Cricetulus griseus: one gene and its partners. The protein of the gene in region 1 interacts with the protein of each later gene in a pairwise test. Links are inferred from orthologs where the notes say so. Each region holds a gene or a part of one and is shown in the gene's direction. Other genes may lie near its edges.

Region 1 (6,494 bases):
CATCAGTTCTTCTTGTATTTAGAGTGATTTTCTTAGCCAGGTGTGGTGGCTCACATGTGTAACCCTAGCAATGAGGAGGCCGAGACAAGCAAAATCACCACCAGGCCCATCTGGGGTGTAGACAGGTCTGTCTCAATAGACAGACAGACAGACAGACAGACAGACAGACAGTTTTAAAAATATAAATAAATATTCTTGAGTCAAAAGAAAATGATAGTATTCACCTAATTTTTTTGAAGATTTATTTATTTATTATGTGTTCTGCCAGCGTGTATGCCTGCACACCAGAAGAGAGCACCAGATCTCATTACAGATGGTTGTGAGCCACCATGTGGTTGCTGGGAATTGAAATCAGGACCTCTGGAAGAGCAAGTGCTCTTAACCTCAGAGCCATCTCTCCAGCCCGCATCCACCTAAATTTTGTCCAATCTTTTGTGGTTTCAATTTTTCCATTTAATTTGAAGTCCACGGTGAAGTAAAAATGTGAAAAATTTCCCTGTGTTTCAATACCACAAAGTTACCTAGACGAGCACTCTCCTGAAGACAGGGGTCTGAGCCCCTCTGTCTTTGACTGCATTGGAAGACTAATGGGATTGAGAACATGGATGCATTGGTCTAGCCTAGAGCCACACAGCCCCACCACTGGGCACCATCTTACAGGGATGGCCACGGCACTGATGTGTTTGTGTGAGACCAGACTAACTTTGGGCCGGTGTCACTGCTGTTGCGTGTCCTCAATGGGCACAGCTCCAGTTGATACGACAGTGTTTTCTGTTGCAGGCTGCATGGCCACTGTAGTGACCCTTCTCTGGATGACCCCATCCCCCAGGAGTATGCGCTCTTCCTCTGCCCCACGGGGCCCTTGCTGGAAAAACTCCAAGAGTTCTGGAGGGAGAGCAAGCGCCAGTGTGCGAAGAACAGAGCTCACGAGGTCTTCCCTCATGTGACACTCTGCGACTTTTTCACGGTGAGTCCACTCCAGAGGCCTTAGATGCTCACCACTGCAACTGATGCCAGTTGTCAACTGACTTATTTTAACCAAGACATTAGCATAAAGGTGGCTCCTTGATGGGAATCTTTTCCTTCCTCTAGCCTTCAGGACCCAATTCATTTAGAGCCTTCAGCTCCCCAGGCAGAAGGAGGTACAACCCCAGGCTCCCGTCAGTATCTCTAGGAGCACATTTGGGTGCTATGAAAGTCACATGTCCCTATAGGAAGACAGATGCTGCCCTGGTCCTTATCTACCCAGAAACTAGCAAAGTCCTGAACAGAGCAAGAGCCTCCTGTGTGATGAGAATCCTGAAGAGTGCTGGTTTGGGCTGGGCATGACCAGGGTCTTTCCTATGCCAGGGCCTGGCCCTCTGAGAAAAACAAAAACCATTGGTGAAGTCAGCAGAGGCACAGTTGGTGGACAAAGAGAAAGCCTGAGCACAAGGAGGCCCCTGAGCCATTTCCTCTATACCTGTACCTGATGAGTTAGAGAAGGGCCCATCTATTCTCAGGACAGCAGGCAGAGCCTTCTCCTGCCACTCCACACTGCTAGAGGAGTATAAAGCACAGTGGTCGATAAAGAAGCTTCTAGAAGCTGTCCCCTGGAAAAACAACACCTCCCAAGCATCCATGACGCACCTCTGTGTGCCTGAGACTAAGAGGTCTCTGGGGACAGAACTAAACTGTTGCTTCCTGGAGGTCTGAGCTGGGATCCCATGGGACCCCATGAGATTCCTCAGAGTTGACTGGCGACTCCCAGAGGCTAACCCATGAAAACTGAGACAAGCAAGGGGCACAGAAGGAAAGAAGACTGCCTGGGGAGGTGACAGGGAGACAGTGACAGGGGAGTTCCAATCTAGGCACGTAAGGGGGATTATATTACAGAAAGACCCTTACCCGAGATGCCTCAAATAACTGAAGAGAAAATATGGGGGTAAACCTTTATAACTGCAGGGGCTGCGTAAGGAGTATCCCGTGCCTTGGATACAGAGCAGCCCATAGTGGTTAAGCCTTGATTTTCAACAGGTGGACACTCATTCTCTGTTCGTCTTCCCTTAGTGTGAAGACCAGAAGGTGGAGTGTTTGTATGAGGCTCTGAGGCGTGCAGGGGACAGGATCCTGAACTCCTTCCCTACCCTGGTGCCTCTTGTCCTCCATTCTTCCATCAGCTACCTCGGCTTCTTCATCAACGACAGCCCCGCAGACGTCATCAGGGAGTTCGCCACAGCGTTCGCCACGGAGGCATCAGTCTTAGCAGGTGGGGATCTCAGCTGTGGGCAGATACACTTTTCCCTTTGTGTCCCAGCAGAGCCACACCTAAGGCCCTAACAGACTAGCTCCTGTCCGTGATGATGGCTCTTTAATGACCATCCTCCGAGGAATAGTTTGGTTCTTGTCTGGAAGCAGCACACCAGACACTGCCCTCGGACAGACACCCGTCTCTATGCTCCCAGATAGGTCTTAGAGGCCTCACCTTAAAAGGGGTAAGGAAGTTCCAGGGGTGTACCTCAGTTGGTAAGAGTGCTTGCCAGGGTGAGGGGTTTGATCCTCAGTGCTACATATCTCAGACATGAGGTCCACATACCTGTAATCCAGAAAGGGGAGGCAGAGAAAGTGTGAATCATACCTTTATTACATGAGACCCTGTCCCCCCAAAAAAAGAAAGAGAGAAAGAGAGGGAGAGAGAAAGGAAGGGAGGGAGAGAAAGAAAGAGAGGGAAGAAGGGAGAGAGAGCGAGAGAGAGAGAGAGAGAAAGAGAGAGAGAGAGAGAAAGAGAGAGAGAAAGAGATGAGGAAACTAGACTGTCTGGCATCACTGTATTGGGTTATACATGGTCCCCTCCCTCCAGGAACCTCAGAATGGGACCTTATTCAACAGTGGGCTCTTTAACATTACAATTAGTTAAGATGAGGTCACACTAGAATAAAGTGATCCTAAATCAATAGCTGGTTCCCTCTAAAGGACACATGGAGATAACAAGGAGGCCACTTGACCACAGAGGCAGAGATGGGCAGGATACAGCCATAGCCCAGGGATGCCTGGGGCCACTAGAAGCTGGATGACACCAAAGGACACACCCCAGAGCCTTCAGGAGGAATGTAGCCCTGCCCACACCTGGATTTTGAACTTCTGGCCTCTAAATTCCTAAGACGATAAACTCCTGTTGCTTTATGCAGCCCAGTTTTGATATCCTGTTGCAGCAGGAAGTGAGTGCCATACTCACCCATCTTGGAGGCCTGGAAATGAGCATTCTGCCTCACTGAACACTACCAGGGCTCTGTGTTGTTAGGCCTCACTTCCTGGTAGAGCTGGCCCTGAGTTCTTATCCATCTCCTGACCCTGAGCAGGCTCTTCTTGCCCTCTGGGGCTATGCCTCAGTCTGACCTGAGAGGCTAGCAGCAGTCCTTCCTCTCAGGAGTGTCTGGAGTCCCTCCCTGCCCACACCAGCCCTCTGGGTGAAACTGAACCCAGGTACACAGGGCAACAACAGAGGAAAAACAAAAGCCTATTCAGAAGTCAGCATGACTCACCCCTGTCTCTGGGGAAGCCAGACCAGGTCTTTTCCAGGCTGTGCTGACTCACAAGGGAACCCAACCTCCCCGACTGCTAAAAAGAGTCACAAAAGGAAATTCCCATCACCTACACACACCTTCATGCCACCTGTGCTGACTGCCTTCACAGAAGCCTGGCCAGGGTCTAGCTGGTGCTAAAGGTCCCCTGTGTGGAGAATGCTGTGGTGAACCTAATGTCATGGCGCCTGCACCTTCCAGAACTTTCACTAGGGGAATAGCAAGTCCTGTTTGCTTCCTGCCCTGCATGGAGACGTGGCAGGCAGTTTTGGGGCACTGAAAGTTCTCCGAGGACTCCAGAGTCCTGGAGCCAGCTATCTTTGTCCTCAAGTCCCAGCTGTCATAAAGGAAGCTAAGTCAGAGCATGACTCTCAGTCAAGGCCCCTGTGGTGACAAGGACAAAAGAGCCTTGTAGTCAGGTCCCTCTACAGCAAAGTCTGCCATTCCTGTGAAGACACGGAACTGCCTCCTCGGAGTCTGAGAGATTTTACCACCCAGCTGTCACCACAGCTGGTTGTTCCTGCATGCCAGTGTCTCTTGTTTATCTGAAAGACTCAAAGGCCAACCAGGAGCCAAGGGCTTCTCAAGGTCAGAGGCTGTCACAAAGCACCGGGCCTCAGCACTACCAGGGCTTCCAATGAGGAAAGTCAAATGCACGTCAGACAAGCTTCAGGTTTTACAGCTCACTGCTCAAGAAATGTTCCTCCTGTGACCCCTCTTTAAGCAAAAGGCTTTGGTCTGGGGTGGGGATGTAGCTCAGTGGGTAGAGTGTTTGCCTAGCAACCATGAAGCCCTAGGTTCAGTCCCTAGAAACACATAACCAGGTATGGGAGTGCGCACTTTTGATCCTCGTACTCAGGAGATAGAGGCAGGAGGATTAGAAGTTCAAGGTCATCCTCAGTTGCATAACAAGTTCAAAGCAGTCTAGGACTCATGAGATTCTGTCTCTAACCAAAACCAAAGCAAACCTAGACCTAGAGTCTAGGCCCTGCCATGTGTGCACCAGAGAATGAAGGGGCCATTTGCTGCTTTTCTAACATTCAAACTAGCTGCAGACTAAGGGCTCTCAAGATTTTGAGCCACATCTCTGTGCCTACCTTTTGTTTTTCTTCAGAAACTCTGCAAGCATCCAACCACATCCTTTCTAAGAGGGAGAGCCCAGTCCTTGCCTTGTCAAGAAAGCACCAACAATAAGGAGCAGGCATAATTAGAAAGGATGTCTGCCTGTTCCAGGCAGACAGGGCTGACATTCAGGGACAGGTTCTCACCTGACATTCAGAATGGGTACCCAACACCCTATGTTCACTGGACATTCAGCATCCGGCATTTCCTTAACTCCACAGACTGTACCGTCAAGCCCTGCACTAAGCAACTGCACCTGACCTTGGCCCATAAGTTCTACCCTCACCATCAAAGGACCCTGGAGCAGCTGGCCAGAGCCATCCAGCCCAGCCACACCTGCCAGTGGACGGCTGCCCTGTACTCCCGGGACATGCGGTTTGTGCACTACCAGGTAAGAGTAGTGGCCCAGCCTGCCTTGCTGGTAGGAGGTTCACTTCTACAATCCTCCCTGAAGAGAAGAGGGGGCTCCCTTCTGCTAGATCTCTCTCCTCATGTGCAGTTAAGAAGTTATATTCCTTTATAGACGAGTTGGGCATGCACAGTCATTTCAAAAGACAGTGAAAGCTCTCCCACGGTATTAGAAAAGCCCATTGTCAAGATGTGTTAATAAATGGTTTGCTTGTTAAATCACCTTATGTAATGATTTTGATGGGCTTCGTTTCAAGGTTCCTTTTCCTAAGAGCTAATTAGTTGAGGAAGAAAGTATGTTGCACAGAGAATAAGTATGAGAGAACCACCAATTCCCTGCCATAAGAGAAGTTATGAATAGCTTCACACCAAGGAAGGTGGTTATACACATTTGGTCACACTGTAAGGTCTTTCCCATAAGAGAAACAGATATATGGATAAATGATGGATAAGTGGATAGGTGGGTGGGTGAGTAGGTGAATAAGTGGATGGATGGATGGATGGATGGATGGATGGATAGGTGAATAGATGGATGGATGGATGGGTGGGTGGATGGATAAATGGGTGAAAGAATGCAATGGTGGATAGATAGATGTCTGAATGGATGGATATATAGATGTATGGATGAGGGAAGGAATGGGTGAATGAATGAATGAATGAATGGGTTGATAGATGGATAGGCAGGTAGATGAATGAGTAGATAAACAGACAGCTGGCCAACTGAATAGATGCATAAATGGGAAAATGAATGGGTAGATTGATGGACAGACAGATGAATGAAAAGGGATGGATGGATGGATGGATGGATGGGTGGGTGGGTGTATGACTGGATAGAAAGATGAATGCATGAGTGGATGGGTGGTAGGTGGGCAAAAGGATGAGCAAACATGTTGGTGGGCTGATAAATGAATGGACAAGTGGTTGGTGGATTAGTAGGTAGACTGGTGGAAGACAAACAGTAAACTTTATTGATATTTGACACTGGCTCACAGTGGTTCACATTGACTCCACACTGCATACCACTAGGTAAAGGCACAATGGGGCCTTGGAGGCATAAGACACATTGGAGGAGCCAGAAGGCTAGACATAAGGTTTCTGGCTTCCTGATGCTATTGCTTCCCAGACAAACCCTCACTAAGACGTGGCTCTACTTCCTAGACTCTGAAGGCGCTGTTCCAGTACAAACCCCAGAATGCAGATGAGCTAATGCTCAGTCGAGGCGACTACATCTTCGTGGACCCCACACAGCAGGAGGAAGCTAGTGAGGGCTGGGCCATTGGGATCTCACATCGGACTGGCTGCCGGGGCTTCCTGCCAGAGAACTACACAGAGCGAGCCAATGAGGCTGACACCTGGGTTAAGCACAGGTGAGAACTGTCCTTTCTCTGTCAGTTGTCATCTGAA
Region 2 (7,151 bases), on another chromosome or scaffold:
AGCCATCTATCCCCACTTTGACTTGAAGCAGGGCTCAGTTTGGCTGTGGACTCTGTAGTGAGGTTCCAAGCATCTGTCTCCATGGCTGGCAGCACCCTGTGGTGGAGTCTAAAAGTCGGCTGGAGTTTGGCCTGAGGCTTTTGTTTTTGGAGACTTCTGCTTGGGAAAGTTGAAAAAGAGTAACCCCCAGGGTGAGGCAGGAGCCAGGCTATGAGGATGGGAATCCCTGTGGCAACTGGGAGAGCAGCGGGCCTGTCTATTTTCCTACCAAGTGCCTATCTGGGGCAGATATGCATGAATATGGTGGGAAGTGGGCTAGGAACTTGGCTAGAGAGCTACCCAGCAATAGGGCTTAGGTAAATGAATGCATGGAGGGGAAAGCCACACAGCTGTTAAAATGATGATGTAGGCAAATGGCTATTGATTCAGAAAGATGTTCACAACATATTGTTGAAGGAAAAGCAAATTACAAAATAATTGGTGCAGTATGGGCCTGTTTTGAAAAAAACCATTTATATGTGTAGAAAAACCTGGCAGTGTTTATCTGCATGTGGCAAAACTATGGCTAATTAAATATTTAAATTGCTTATGTGTATTTTCTTTTCTTTTATTTTTAAAGATTTTATTTATTTATTATGTATACAACATTCTGCTTCCATGTACATCTGCACACCCGAAGAGAGCACCAGATCTCATAATGGATGGTTGTGAGCCACCATGTGGTTGCTGGTGCTGAACTCAGGACCTCTGGAAGAGCAGTCGGTGCTCTTAACCTCTGAGCCATCTCTCCAGCCCGCTTATGTGTATTTTCTGATTTCTCTACAGTGAGTGTATAATAAAACACCAATATGAAAGTTTGTAATCAAGTGTCTTTGTTTTGTCTCTACACACAAAGACCCTTTGAGAGAGTATAGCAAGGATCCAAAAGCCCAGTGGGGTTAGAGTGGAACTTGGTCCTACATCAGGGGTACAAGGAGGGGGTGAGGGGCAGAGACTGGAGGACTCCTTGGCTGGTACTGAAATAAACTCACATAAACAGGACGGACTCTCCAGTTTTTCTGTCAAACCTCTCCTGCTCTTGTCGTATCTTTTCCCTTCAGAACCACTTTGTTTGGACCTAGAAAGGCAGGCCACTCCTACCCTCTGAGATGTGTCCTGAGTTAAAGGCTGGTCTCTAGTAAGGCTCTTCCCTTAACATCCCCTGTTCTTTAGCGTTCCAGCTTATAAGAATATTAATAGTCACTGGGGGGCAGGAAGTGGTCATGCAAGCCTTTAATCACAAAGGGGCAATTGGATTGCTGTGAGTTCCAGACCAGCTTGATCTATATAGTGAGTTCCAGGGGACATGATGACATACTGCCTAAAGGTTGCTGGGAACTTCTCTCAAGATCTGCCTTACTATGCCGTTGTCCTCAATGGGGGAAGATATGGCTAGATCTTAAGGAGCTCCTTCCTTTCCCATGCTGGGACTCGCTAGGGGAACCTCAGCCTGTGCAAGTTCAAGTGAATGCCATGTCCCTGGTACCGAGTAAGGGATGCTGCTGTGTCAGGAGCTCAGGGGTCTGAATTGGCTTGAGCAGGGGGAGGGGGCAAGCAGCCAGGCGTTGTCTGTAAGCTGGCTGCCCCCAGGACCTCCTCTGTGTGCCCGCTGAATGACTCACCTTGGCAGAGACACAATGGTCAGGGTAGGCACACAGCCTGCTTCCCGTTGCACTCCAGGCCCCCTTCGATGCTTTCCGAGAAGTCCATTGATCTGGGAGCTTGTACAGCACCAGGGGCTGACATCCTGGCATCTTAGGATAAAAGCAGCCCAGCCCCCTTGGGGCTGCCCTTGCCGTATGGCTCCCTCACTGGCGGCAGAGAACAAGGCTCTATTCAGCAAGTGCCCTGGAGCAGGGATCAGAAGCTCAAGCATGGACAGAGGGAAGCAGGGGTGGGGGGAACTTAGCTGTCTGTTTTCCAGAAGCCCAAGGGCACAAATGGCTAAGGCGCCTGGGAGGGACCAGAGTGGAGGGGATGGATAGGCCTGAAGTCTCACGGCAACAGCCTCCTCCCCACCATTGATGATAGTGAATTCTGGCTTCCCAGACCTAGAGATTCCCCAGAGGCCTGATGTGTGGAAATTTGAAGAAGATAAATCTCCTGGGAGAATGAGGGGTGACCAGGAGGACAGGGTGTTACAAAAATGAAGATTCCAGCATGCACAACCAACTCATTCATAGCTACTCTGTAGAGCTGTCAGGGGCCAGGCTCGGGGAGGAGTAAAGGGAAGCTGGACCAGGAAGAAATGGCCCAGTAGGCTAGACACGATGCCAAAGAGGGGCTCAGGAAGGAGGTCTGCTATTGTACCCTATTAGGGTCCTCATGCATTCCTTCTGTCTTGCCCCTTAGACACACAGCTAGAGGCCCAGGCTGGCCCTGGAGTCATAGGGAGGGCCCCAAGCCCAGCCCTTCACTCCTGAACTCCAGGAATGAGAAGACAGGATGGCAGGGAGAGGACTCTGGACACCTGTTGGGAATGGGAGTCAGCAGGAAACTATCATATAGGCTGATCCTGGAGGCAGGGCATAGATTCTTCAAGTTCCTAGCATCTCACAGGCCCATGGAAAAGTGCAGAATGAGGGTAGCCCTGGCTTCTAGACGCTAAGAGCAGGGGGCAGCTCACCCAACCCAGCTCGTGCTCACCCTCTCTCTCTCTCTCTCTCTCTCTCTCTCTCTCTCTCTCTCTCTCGTGTGTGTGTGTGTGTGTGTGTGTGTGTGTGTGTGTGTGTGCGCGCGCGTGCGTGTTTGCTCACATGCTCGAGTGCACCTACACACAAATGCTTGTTCATTGCAAGATATTCCTGTGTGGGCCCATGTGCACTGAGGTTAAATGTCAGCATCAGGTATTGTTCCTCAGACACTGTTGCCTTGGTTTTCTTTGAGACATCGTTTCTCTCTGGGACCTGGAACTCACCCATTAATCAGTGAGACCCAAGGATCCTCCTGGTTTTCTTTCCCCAGCACTGGAGTTACAAGTACACATCGTCAGACCTGACCTTTTGTTTTCATTCTGTGACTAGAACTTGAGTCTTCATGCTTGACAGGCAAGCAATTTATGGGCTGTTTCCTCAGCCACTCTAGCCCTCTCTTGACCCATCTTACCAGAAAGGGGTTTTTCTTCATCACTGGTGAAGCCAAGCTGGTGTGCCCAGGGAAACCTTGACTCTAGTACAAAGACCTCAGTGGGGTGAGAGGAGCTCTCCCCGTAGCTGGGCTAGGGCCCAGCTCCACCCCCTCAGTCTATTCAGTGGGGTGCTGCCAGGAAGTCAGGGCAGAGCCAGTTCAGCCCATTCCTCCATAAAACTCTGACATCCCCAGAGCCAGCAGGGCCAGGGCAGGATGGAGCGAAGACGCATCACCTCTGCACGTCGCTCCTATGCCTCCTCCGAGACGGTGGTCAGGGGCCTGGGTCCCAGCCGCCACCTGGGTACCATCCCACGCTTCTCTTTGGCTCGAATGCCTCCTCCACTCCCTGCCAGGGTGGACTTCTCCCTGGCCGGGGCTCTCAATGCTGGCTTCAAGGAGACTCGGGCCAGTGAGCGCGCTGAGATGATGGAGCTCAACGACCGCTTTGCTAGCTACATCGAGAAGGTCCGCTTCCTGGAACAGCAAAACAAAGCACTGGCAGCTGAGCTGAACCAGCTTCGTGCCAAGGAGCCCACCAAACTGGCGGACGTCTACCAGGCAGAGCTGCGAGAGCTGCGGCTGCGGCTGGACCACCTTACTGCCAACAGTGCCCGGTTGGAGGTGGAGAGGGACAATCTGGCACAGGACCTGGGCACCCTGAGGCAGAAGTGAGGAGGGGGTCAGGGAAAATGGCTAGACAGAACCGAGAGGGATGCCTATAAGGAAGGGTACTGACTCTGGCAAGGGCTCGGCGTTTCAGCTGCTGCATTTCCCCATGCCTGGGAAAGGGAGAGCTATCTTTGCTCCCTAATATGATGGGAATAGGCAGGGAGAGGCCAGAACTTCAGCGATCTGATTCCCAAAGGTCTGCTGCCAGGGAGCCTGGCACGCGGGACATCTCCACACTGGGGAAGGCTGTGTGGGCAGCGAGGGCACCAGCCAGCAGGTGCTCTGCTTTTTCATTCATTTGGCACTGTGAATCTGACGAGTGAAGGCTTATGTCCACAAGGAGGCTCTGGTCTCTGAAATAGAGAGAATGAAAGAAAGGGCAGGCCTGGGTGCAGAACCCCGATGACTGTCTGTCACCAGTTTTTGTCATAGCTGTGAAGGAGAGGTCATGATACAATCTGTCCTAAAAGGTGGAACTCTGGGGCATGGTGCTTTGCTGAGTGGTGGACATTCGTGTGCCCATATAGTGCAGGAGGTGCACTGGTGTCTGTAAAGCGTGCACATGGTGGTGGATGCGCCTGTGCGAGCATGAGCAGGTGCACCAACCCCGATAAGGCACCTCAGTAATGAGTTAAGGCAGAAACTCTTATCTGCTGCTTACTCTCTCAGCCAGGGCCTCTGTTTAGGAAGCCTCTGCTCCTTACGTCTCCTGCCACTCTGTGGGTCCTGTGAGAGTGTTTTATGACAGTCAATTCCATAGAGGTTGGGACAGGGATCTAATAAGAGTTCTTAGGAAAGCATTAAGCCCATACTGTGTCCCATATCCCAGGCTCCAAGATGAAACCAATTTGAGGCTGGAGGCTGAGAACAACCTGGCTGCCTATAGACAGGTCAGAGAGATGGGAGGGATGGGCAGCTGGGGTGGGGGTGTGTGTGTTGGGGGTAGGGCTTGGGGGTGGGGTTAATGACTGCCCACCCAGACATAGGCCCTGAACTTAACCCTTCACTGCAGTTGCCTGCTTCCCAGACCCCCACAAGGAGGGAGAAGACAAAACTGGAGGTTGTAGTGGGGTGGGCTCTGGGGTCAAAAAAGGCCCTCTCCCCACTCCAGGAGGCAGATGAAGCTACCATGGCCCGTCTGGACCTGGAGAGGAAGATTGAGTCGCTGGAGGAGGAGATACAGTTCTTGAGGAAGGTCCATGAGGAGGTGAGGCCAGGTGGAACGAGGGAGGCCAAACAAGAATCTTCAAATGAAAGAGACAGACAGATGGACAGATAGATACTTAGAGAGGGAAACAGAGAAGCCAACTGTCAGGAAGAAAGAAAATGAAAGAGAAAGAGTGAAGACAGAGAGACCAAGGGAGGTGTTTTCCAGTGTCTCCTACCCCTGGAAAATGCACACAGGCCCTCCCCCACCACCATGTTTTGAGAAGCACAAGGCCAGGTCTTTAGTTTCTTCTCCACATCAGCTCTGTGAGCCCTTCTTGTGGTCTCCTTTCATAACAGGAAGGATGTTGAATCCTAGAGAAGTTAAAAACAAAACAAAACAAAACAACCACCCCAAAGTCACACAGCCTGTCTGGTTTCACCCTCTCCCCCACTTGTCACCAGGAAGATGGGAGACAGTCATGAAAACCCCTCTGAGGACATGCCATCTCAGCATTTGGGAGGTAGAGGTAGGAAGCTCAAAGTGTTTAAGGCCAATTTCAGCTACACAGAAGATTTGAGATCAGCCTGGTCTCCATGAGACCCTGTCTCAAATACACACACACACACACACCCCTCTGTTCTCTGACCTCAGAGCCAGGATGCAGGACATATTCATGCCTGGCTCCTGAACACACAGCCCTGGGAGGAAGACGCCCTCAGATTCTCATTCCATACCCATTAGGGTTTTTATTTCTACTTTTTAACAGGGTCTCACTGTGTAGCCTTGGCTTGCCTGGAACATTCTATGTAGAGCAGACTGGCTTCAAAATCATAGAGGACTGCCTGCTCCAGCCTCTCACATGCTAGGGTTAAAGGTTAAATGGCACATGCCCATTAGCTTAGGCTATGCACTTCCTCCAGTAAAGGCTGCCCCATTTCCCTGAGCCAGTGACATATCTGGGCAGGCAAAAGTGTGATGCTGGGAGAGCCCCAGCTGTAGCCTGGGCCTGAGATACCCCTTCTTTTACCCTATTAGGAAGTTCGAGAACTCCGGGAGCAGCTGGCCCAACAGCAGGTCCACGTGGAGATGGATGTGGCCAAGCCAGACCTCACAGCGGCCCTGAGAGAGATTCGAACTCAATACGAGGCAGTGGCCACCAGTAACATGCAAGAGACAGAGGAGTGGTATCGGTCCAAGGTACCCGTGGGCTAGCCTGCCTCTTCCAGGCAGCCCTTCCTGATCCACACTGGGGAATAGGGAAGGAGGCTTGGAAAATAACCTATCTAGGTGACCAGCTTGCTCAGAGAAGTGAGATGGCTTGCCCAGGACCACACAGGCATTACGACTTCCCAAACTACTCATTGTTATTGCTACTACTATTTTTAACCAGCAAGGTTAAAGGTTAACTAGTTTGCACAATGTCACACAGCTCCTAAGTGAACAAGGGATAAAGTTTCTAATCCTAACCCATCTCATTTGAGAGCCTGCCTTTTTGATGCCTCTGCCAGTCTGTGTCCTGTGTTCCTGAACGTCTACTGTGTGCCGGGTACTCCCCAAGATACAGAGAAACATTTATTTGGTCAAGGAGATATCAGAGTTTATACAGACTGGGAAACAGGGGCTTGTGCTAAACAGGCAGCTTAGAGACTCAAGAGAAGAGGGAAGGGCGTCTCAAGTAGAGAACAGGCGTTGTGAGGAGGCCTGAGACAGAAAAGCAGAGACTGGAGGTGTTGCTGGCCAGGGCACAGAGTCCAGTTTGAGCCGCAGAAGCCAGTGACAGCCTGAACATGTTGAAGGCCTGATAAATCCTTCGGTTACAGTTGCTGCACCTGGGAGAGACCTGAGGTCGACCCCACTTTTCTGATTTTCCAGAGACCGTGTCTATCCCCCATCCCAGGCAGCAACCTGGTTTGTGCACTGTGCCGATGGGAGGCTCCAGCCCTCCCTTCGACTTCAGTTCCTCTTTCGATTTAGTTTGCAGACCTCACAGATGCTGCTTCCCGCAACGCAGAGCTGCTCCGCCAGGCTAAGCACGAGGCTAATGACTATCGCCGCCAACTGCAGGCCTTGACCTGCGACCTGGAGTCCTTGCGCGGCACGGTGAGCACAGGCAGGGACCACTGGTCGGATGGGGGCAGCCGTCACCCAAGATGTTGCTGGAAGG
Region 3 (6,494 bases), on another chromosome or scaffold:
GCGAGTGGAAGCGATGAAGCAGGTTTGACTCTTCTTGCTGGCTTCACCGACATTTGAGTAAACTTAAGTCATGAATGTCTTAGTCAGTGTTCCATCGCTGTGAAGAGACACCCTGACCACGGCAGCTCTTATAAAAGAAAGCATTTAGTTGGGGCTGGCTTACAGTTTTCATCACGGCTGAGAGCATGTCAACACAGAGCTAGAGAAGTAACTGAGAGTTCTACATTCAGATCCACTGGCAACAGGAAGAAAGAGGCTTTGGGCTGGGAATGAAACCGCAAAGCCCACGCCCAGTGACACATTTCCCCCAATAAAGCCACACCTCCTAATCCTCTCAAATAATGTCACTTCCTGGTGACCAAGTGTTCAAATCTGTGAGCATCCCAACAGCCAGAACACGATATTTGTAAATGCCTTTCTCTAAATAATGGACAATCTTAGGGGAAGCTTAAGAAGGGCATCTGATGATGTGGAGCGGATGGGAGCCATTCTCATTCAAACCACAGTAAACAATCAGATAATTTCTAATTGCAGTCTTCACATAGCATCACTTGTGTGTTTGCTTCACTGTGGACTAGGGTATATTAATCGTGTTCACTAACAAGTACATAGGTTTATTTTAAAATCTATGAATTTCATCCCTCTTCTGACAGAATTGCATATTTGAGTTAAATAAGTGAAACTGTTAAATCTAAATACATTTGATAAGGATCAGACAACACGTTTCACTAGTACTGGCACACATTAGATATTTGCTGTATTATATAATGTTGAGATGTTTATACTTTCCTTTATAAAAGTACTTGGGTGTTACTTTGTTTTTTGTTTGTTTGTTTGGTTGGTTTTGGTTTTTTGAGACAGTTTCTTTGTAGCTTTGGAGGCTGTCCTGGAACTCTCTGTAGACCAAGCTGGCCTTGAACTCACAGAGATCCGCCTGCCTCTGCTTCTTGAGTGCTGTTCAAAGGCGTGCACCACCAACGCCCAGCAACCAAATAAGTTTTTTTAAATGATGTAAAGAAGTATCTAATTTTCATCCTGTGCGGTTATTTCAAGTTCTTTTTTTTGCTAGCATGTTTTAAATTTGTCATTTACAATAGGAATTAAGTAGGTTTTACTTCTTGCTACTGGCATGTAGAGGAAACTCCCAGTAGATGATTGAGTTCAGCTACTGTATAAGCTGTCCCCCCAGAAAGACTTCCAACTCTTAAGGAAGCAGCCCTAGGCAGGCAGTGGTGGCAGACAACTTTATTCCCAGCACTTGGGAGGCAGACACAAGTCCGAGTTCAAGGCCAACATAGGCTACACAGAGAAACCCTGTCTCAAGAGGGTAGGGGGAGAACCTGAACTAAGGCTCCTTAAAAGTTACCAGAAATACTGGAGCAAGTCCACTTACTCTGTTTTATACCTGCATCTCCCTAAAGTGGTCTGCTCCTTGACCATCCGTCCAGATGACAGTAAGCATAAACCTGGTAGTGATGTGTTTTACAATCGGACTTTGACACCTGCAGTTAAGAACCAGGAGTGTTACTGTAAATATATTCCCAGCTATCCAGTAAGAATGCCTCCAGAAAAAAGAATAATTCTAAAATTAAGATTCCTGCTTTTTTTAAAAAAAATTCAAAATCCAGCCAGCTGTTGTGGTGCACACCTTTAATCCCAGCACTTGGTAGGCAGAAGTAGGTGGATCTCTGTGAGTTTGAGGCCAGCCTGGTCTACATATTGAGTTACAGAACAGCCAGAGCTACATAATAGACTTTATCTCAAACCTACCCCCACCGCCCCTTGCAGTGCTAGGGATGGAACCTGGGGCCTTGCTCATGCTAAGCAAATTCTATGCCGGTCAGGTCAGTGTGTTTCTGGCTTCCCACCCTCTCTACTCCCACTGACCTCTCTCCCAGTGGATTTGCCTGTTCGAGACCTGTAGACACTTTGTGTGCGTAGGACATGAGCTGTGTGGCTTTTGTGATTGGCCTATTGACATGTTTTAAATTTCATCTGGTTTCTCGTATGTGTCAGTCTTTAGGGGATACAGCATGTCTTGTTTCTTCTCTCTTGGGTCAGGGTGTGGGTACTCTAATTCCTCTTTTTTTCCTATTATGAGTATTGGTACTACGGATGTTTTCTTTTCCCTAAGGAAGGAATGTTGGGTCATGTAATGCCTCTGTTTCACTCTTAAAGGGTCTGTTCATTTATATCCATATAGCAGGTAAAAATTTGCAAATATTGACTTCCTATGTGTTCTTTTTTTTTTTTTTTTTAATCTTCTCATTAGTATCAGGAAGAAATCCAAGAACTCAATGAAGTGGCAAGACACCGGCCGAGGTCCACGCTAGTTATGGGAATCCAGCAAGAAAACAGACAGATCAGAGAATTGCAACAGGAGAACAAAGGCAAGATAGATTGTCGTGAAAAAGACCTTTAGTCTTCCATTGTGGTACTAGTTTGGGACTAATAAGTATATTCACAAATCGGAGAGGGGCTGGAGAGATGGCTCAGTGGTTAAGAGCACTGTTGCAGAGGATCCAGGTTCAGTACCCAGCACCCACGTCAGGCAGTCCTGGCTGCCCATCATTCCTTCTCCAGAGGATCTGACACCCCCTTCTGGGGCGCAGGCATGTATGTGGTGCACAGACAATGTAGGTACTCACACATGCACGTGAAATCAAATAGAATCCTCTTTTAAGTGGGGAAATAGTGAGCTGAAGTCCTCCTTTCTATTTAATCTCCTTCTTTGGTCTGTGTGACGAGGAGGCGCTCTCTCTGTGCTCTGCCCTGCTTATCCTCTTCTCAGCTGCTTCTCACATCTGGTTTACACCATTTTGTTACCTGTGAAGAACTGAACTCCACTCCCTGCCGTGTCCCAGTGTGGCTGCTCATATGCTCTGCTGTACCTGGAGACTTTCACTGTCAGCTTTCTCTCCATCCTTCAACACAAGCCCAAGTCCAAACTCCCCAGAATAAATGTGGCCATGATGCCCTTGCTTAAAATCTTCTGTTTTGATTTTATTTCCTTGTCAGTTGCTGGTCTCTCTTCTGCCCACTTCACACAGCTCTCCTCCACACTGTTTGTTTTGCCTTTCTACCTCAGTCTCCTAACATAGCCTTCACTTTCATGCTCCTTGCTGAAGATTCTCGTTCCTTTAGCTAGCGTTCACCATAAGAGCTCAAGTTCATTGCAGTGTGATAATTCTGTGGAACTTTCCCCAGTCCAGCCTCATAGCTCTGAAATGATTTTTAAGAAACAGTTTTAAATGAACACTTTAAAAAGCTAATGAGAGATGTCTCCAAGGATTAAGGGCACTTGCCACCAAGCCTGTCAGCCTGTGTTCCATCCTTGGAACCCGATGGAACCCCTGGAGGAAGACAAAAGTCAATTGCAAATTGTCCTCTGACCTCTGCATGTGCCATGGCGTGTGTGTGTACACACAACACACACATACACACACATACCCACACACATATACACACATGCACACACACACAGCATAAACCTTTATTTCAATAAAAAGTGGTGAGGGGCTTCTTTGCTGCACGGTCTCTTTTAAGATGTCATGTATGTCAGTGTTTTGGTAAATATGATTTGGGAGAGTATAATCTTAGCTCATTTCAATAAAGCACATTGTTCTCGATAGAACTGCGAACATCCTTGGAAGAGCACCAGTCTGCCTTGGAACTGATAATGAGCAAGTACCGAGAGCAGATGTTCAGATTGCTAATGGCCAGCAAAAAAGACGACCCAGGTATAATAATGAAGTTAAAAGAGCAACACTCAAAGGTAATCAATCCAGTCTACGAATTTGACTTGAAATGAAAATTGGGGCCATTGGTTAATCGATGTTTAGAGTTTAAACAATGAAAAAAAAATCTAAAATTGGTGTGATATGATATATAATTACATCCCCTTCTCCCCCCCCCCTTTTTTTTTTTGACAGGGTTTCCCTGTGTAGCCCTGGCTGCTGTCCTGGAACTCAACTCTGTAGACCAGGCTAGCCTTGAACTCTTGATCTTTCTGCCTCTGCCTCCTGAGTGCTGGAACTAAAGGCATGTGTCACCATAGCCAGAAATACCTCACATTTTTAATTGACATTTTCTTTCATCGTCACCACCCTGCCCCCTATTTCTTGTTACATATTGTATTCTCCTTGGCTTATTCTTGTAACTCACATTACTCCTTATTAACAGGGTCTCACTGTGTAGCTCTGGCTATCCAGGAACTCACTGTGTAGACCAGGCTAGCCTCAAATTCAGAGATCCATCTGTGTCTGCCTCCCTATTGGTGTCCTTAGTAACTTTAAAATGGTGTGTCTGTGTGTGTGGTGTCTGTATATGTGCAGTAATAAACTATTGTAAAAATAAAGGTGTGTTTAGTTTAAAATTACTCTGTGAGATTCTCTGCTTTTAAGTAGAATTTTCCAGTGAATCTGTAGTGCTACCTGTAACACAAGCAGAAAATGGAAACTTTAAAAGTCTGTGCACTGCTGAGTGCCGATTGTTTCCCTGAAGAGTCCAGTCTTCATGAGAAGCCATGGGGTTGGGGATCCTTCATGTAGATGACATCATTTGAGAAGCAAAGCCGAAGTAGTTAGAGCACTTTTGCAGTTGCTTGAATTGCGGCCATTTGGGGGCAGTTGTCAAGACAAGCAAAATAGTTGTTGCTGTTTACATTAAACTGAATTTTAACTGCCAGTGGAAAATGAAAATATTAAACTAGATTGGATGACTGGCTTTGGATAATGGTGAAATAAACTACTTACAACTAATACTATTTAAGAAATAGTGGTAGTTATAAGATACATATATTTCTCAGTTATATTTTGGAATCTTTAAAATATTTCTTCCACATTGGCGTTTATATCTAATTATCCTGTCAGAATTAGATAACTAGTAGTATTCTTTGGGTGACAGTTATACATATTACGGACTGTAATAGCAACCTCATGTTGATTACTAAGAGAATAAAGGAGTAAAGTTGGGTTTAGTGTTACCTATTTATAATAATCATGCCCTAACAAAATGGAAACCCTTGGGTATTTAACTGGTCTTTTGAACATAAAGTCTATGGTTAATGTTAGTATTGGTTACAGAGTAGCTACTTCAGTGTATATCAAGCCATGTACAGTGACACATACCTCTTTAATCCCAATACCTGAGAGGTAAAGGGAGGAAGGTCGGGGTTCTAGGCCAGCCTGGTGACATGAAATTCTGTTTTAATTCTACCTTCCCTCTCCTAAAAATAAGTAAATGTGTAACTAAGAGAGTTTTTTTTTTTTAAGTATAAGAATTGAAATTCCAGAAGGCCCTCTTGTTTTACAATTTGAAAAACCAAATTTTTGAAGTTTTGAAAGAGTGAATACCACCACCACCACCCCAAAAAAGTGCGTAGAGTAAAATCTTGTTAGTCCCATATAGTAGTAACTGTGGCAGAGCGAATGTTTTCTAAAGCACATGAGGAGGTGGAGGCAGAGCTCCATGGTAGAGCATGTGCTGAGCATACCTGCAGCCCTGGGTTCAACCCCATAAACAAACCTATTGGGTGTCCAGTCATCAGTGCTGTCCTGTTAAAAGTTTAAACACTTCCTAAATAGCCATAAACCTTCCGTTAACATTTGTTGTGTAGATTGAGATGATCCAAGTGCTGATCCTTGCCTTCCATAAAGTGACTGTTCAGTTATTTGCTATTAATTCTAACTAATACATGTTAATGTTTGTGGTTTTGATTTTTCCCAAAAAGGAGACACTTTGACTAAGTAAATCAAACATTTATTAGTTATTGGATTAGTTGCTAGAGGCAAGAGCAAGGTTAATGAAGGAATACATCACATCACTGTTAAGTCTGCCATGTAATGGGAAGTACAAAAACAAGCATAACTAGAACATAAGGTAGAGTGAGGTAAAAATGAGTCATTACTATAGAAGTAGGAAGAGCAGTATTGGTTTCCATAAGCAGAGTCTGAAAGAAGGCAGATTATTTAATCTAGCCTTGAATCAACTACAGGAGTGGGGTATGCAAAACAGAGAAATGAGATAAAGGCACAGAAGTGCAGGACTAGACTTGGTTAGGCTCCAGTGATCTGATATGCCTAGACATAGAAATACCTCTGCCACTCTTTGGGGGACACAGTTCCATGTGGCTGCACTTTGCAGCATGTGTCCTGCTTGAGGACATAGTGATACAGAATTTTTCACTTATCTAGAGCCTTATGAGTCCATATTTAAAAATCACTAGAAAATTTAACTCAGTTTCATCCAAATACTTATTTTTACATCATTATTTTAACAGACGCCTTTTTGGAAATCTTAAAAAAACAAACATTCCAACGGTTGGCTAACACGCATGAACTAACACTCATTCGGTGTTTAAGTTACGGAAGAATTCCGTATTAACATTATAATGGCTCTGTGCTACAGATTGACATGGTGCATCGTAGCAGCCGCGAAGGAGTCTTCCTTGATGCATCTCGGCGCATTCTTGAAGCACCTCAGCATGGACTGGA

The links.
Region 2: the proteins of Ubash3a (region 1) and Gfap interact in binary tests that used the Homo sapiens proteins (3 or more experiments, as listed by UniProt). The link is inferred for Cricetulus griseus from reciprocal best matches to the Homo sapiens genes UBASH3A and GFAP.
Region 3: the proteins of Ubash3a (region 1) and Fgfr1op2 interact in binary tests that used the Homo sapiens proteins (3 or more experiments, as listed by UniProt). The link is inferred for Cricetulus griseus from reciprocal best matches to the Homo sapiens genes UBASH3A and FGFR1OP2.

What each region holds. Positions count from the first base shown.
Region 1 is NW_023276806.1:259,579,536-259,586,029, forward strand, and holds part of Ubash3a (ubiquitin-associated and SH3 domain-containing protein A), read left to right. Parts: intron 1-780; coding exon 781-967; intron 968-2,049; coding exon 2,050-2,248; intron 2,249-4,903; coding exon 4,904-5,073; intron 5,074-6,248; coding exon 6,249-6,457; intron 6,458-6,494. UniProt on the Homo sapiens protein: Interferes with CBL-mediated down-regulation and degradation of receptor-type tyrosine kinases. Promotes accumulation of activated target receptors, such as T-cell receptors, EGFR and PDGFRB, on the cell surface.
Region 2 is NC_048600.1:115,221,855-115,229,005, forward strand, and holds the start of Gfap (glial fibrillary acidic protein), read left to right. Parts: upstream 1-3,381; coding exon 3,382-3,836; intron 3,837-4,666; coding exon 4,667-4,727; intron 4,728-4,948; coding exon 4,949-5,044; intron 5,045-6,022; coding exon 6,023-6,184; intron 6,185-6,546; exon of another isoform or gene 6,547-6,961; coding exon 6,962-7,087; exon of another isoform or gene 7,088-7,151.
Region 3 is NC_048601.1:3,101,271-3,107,764, reverse strand, and holds part of Fgfr1op2 (FGFR1 oncogene partner 2), read left to right. Parts: coding exon 1-22; intron 23-2,272; coding exon 2,273-2,390; intron 2,391-3,632; coding exon 3,633-3,775; intron 3,776-6,408; coding exon 6,409-6,494. UniProt on the Homo sapiens protein: May be involved in wound healing pathway.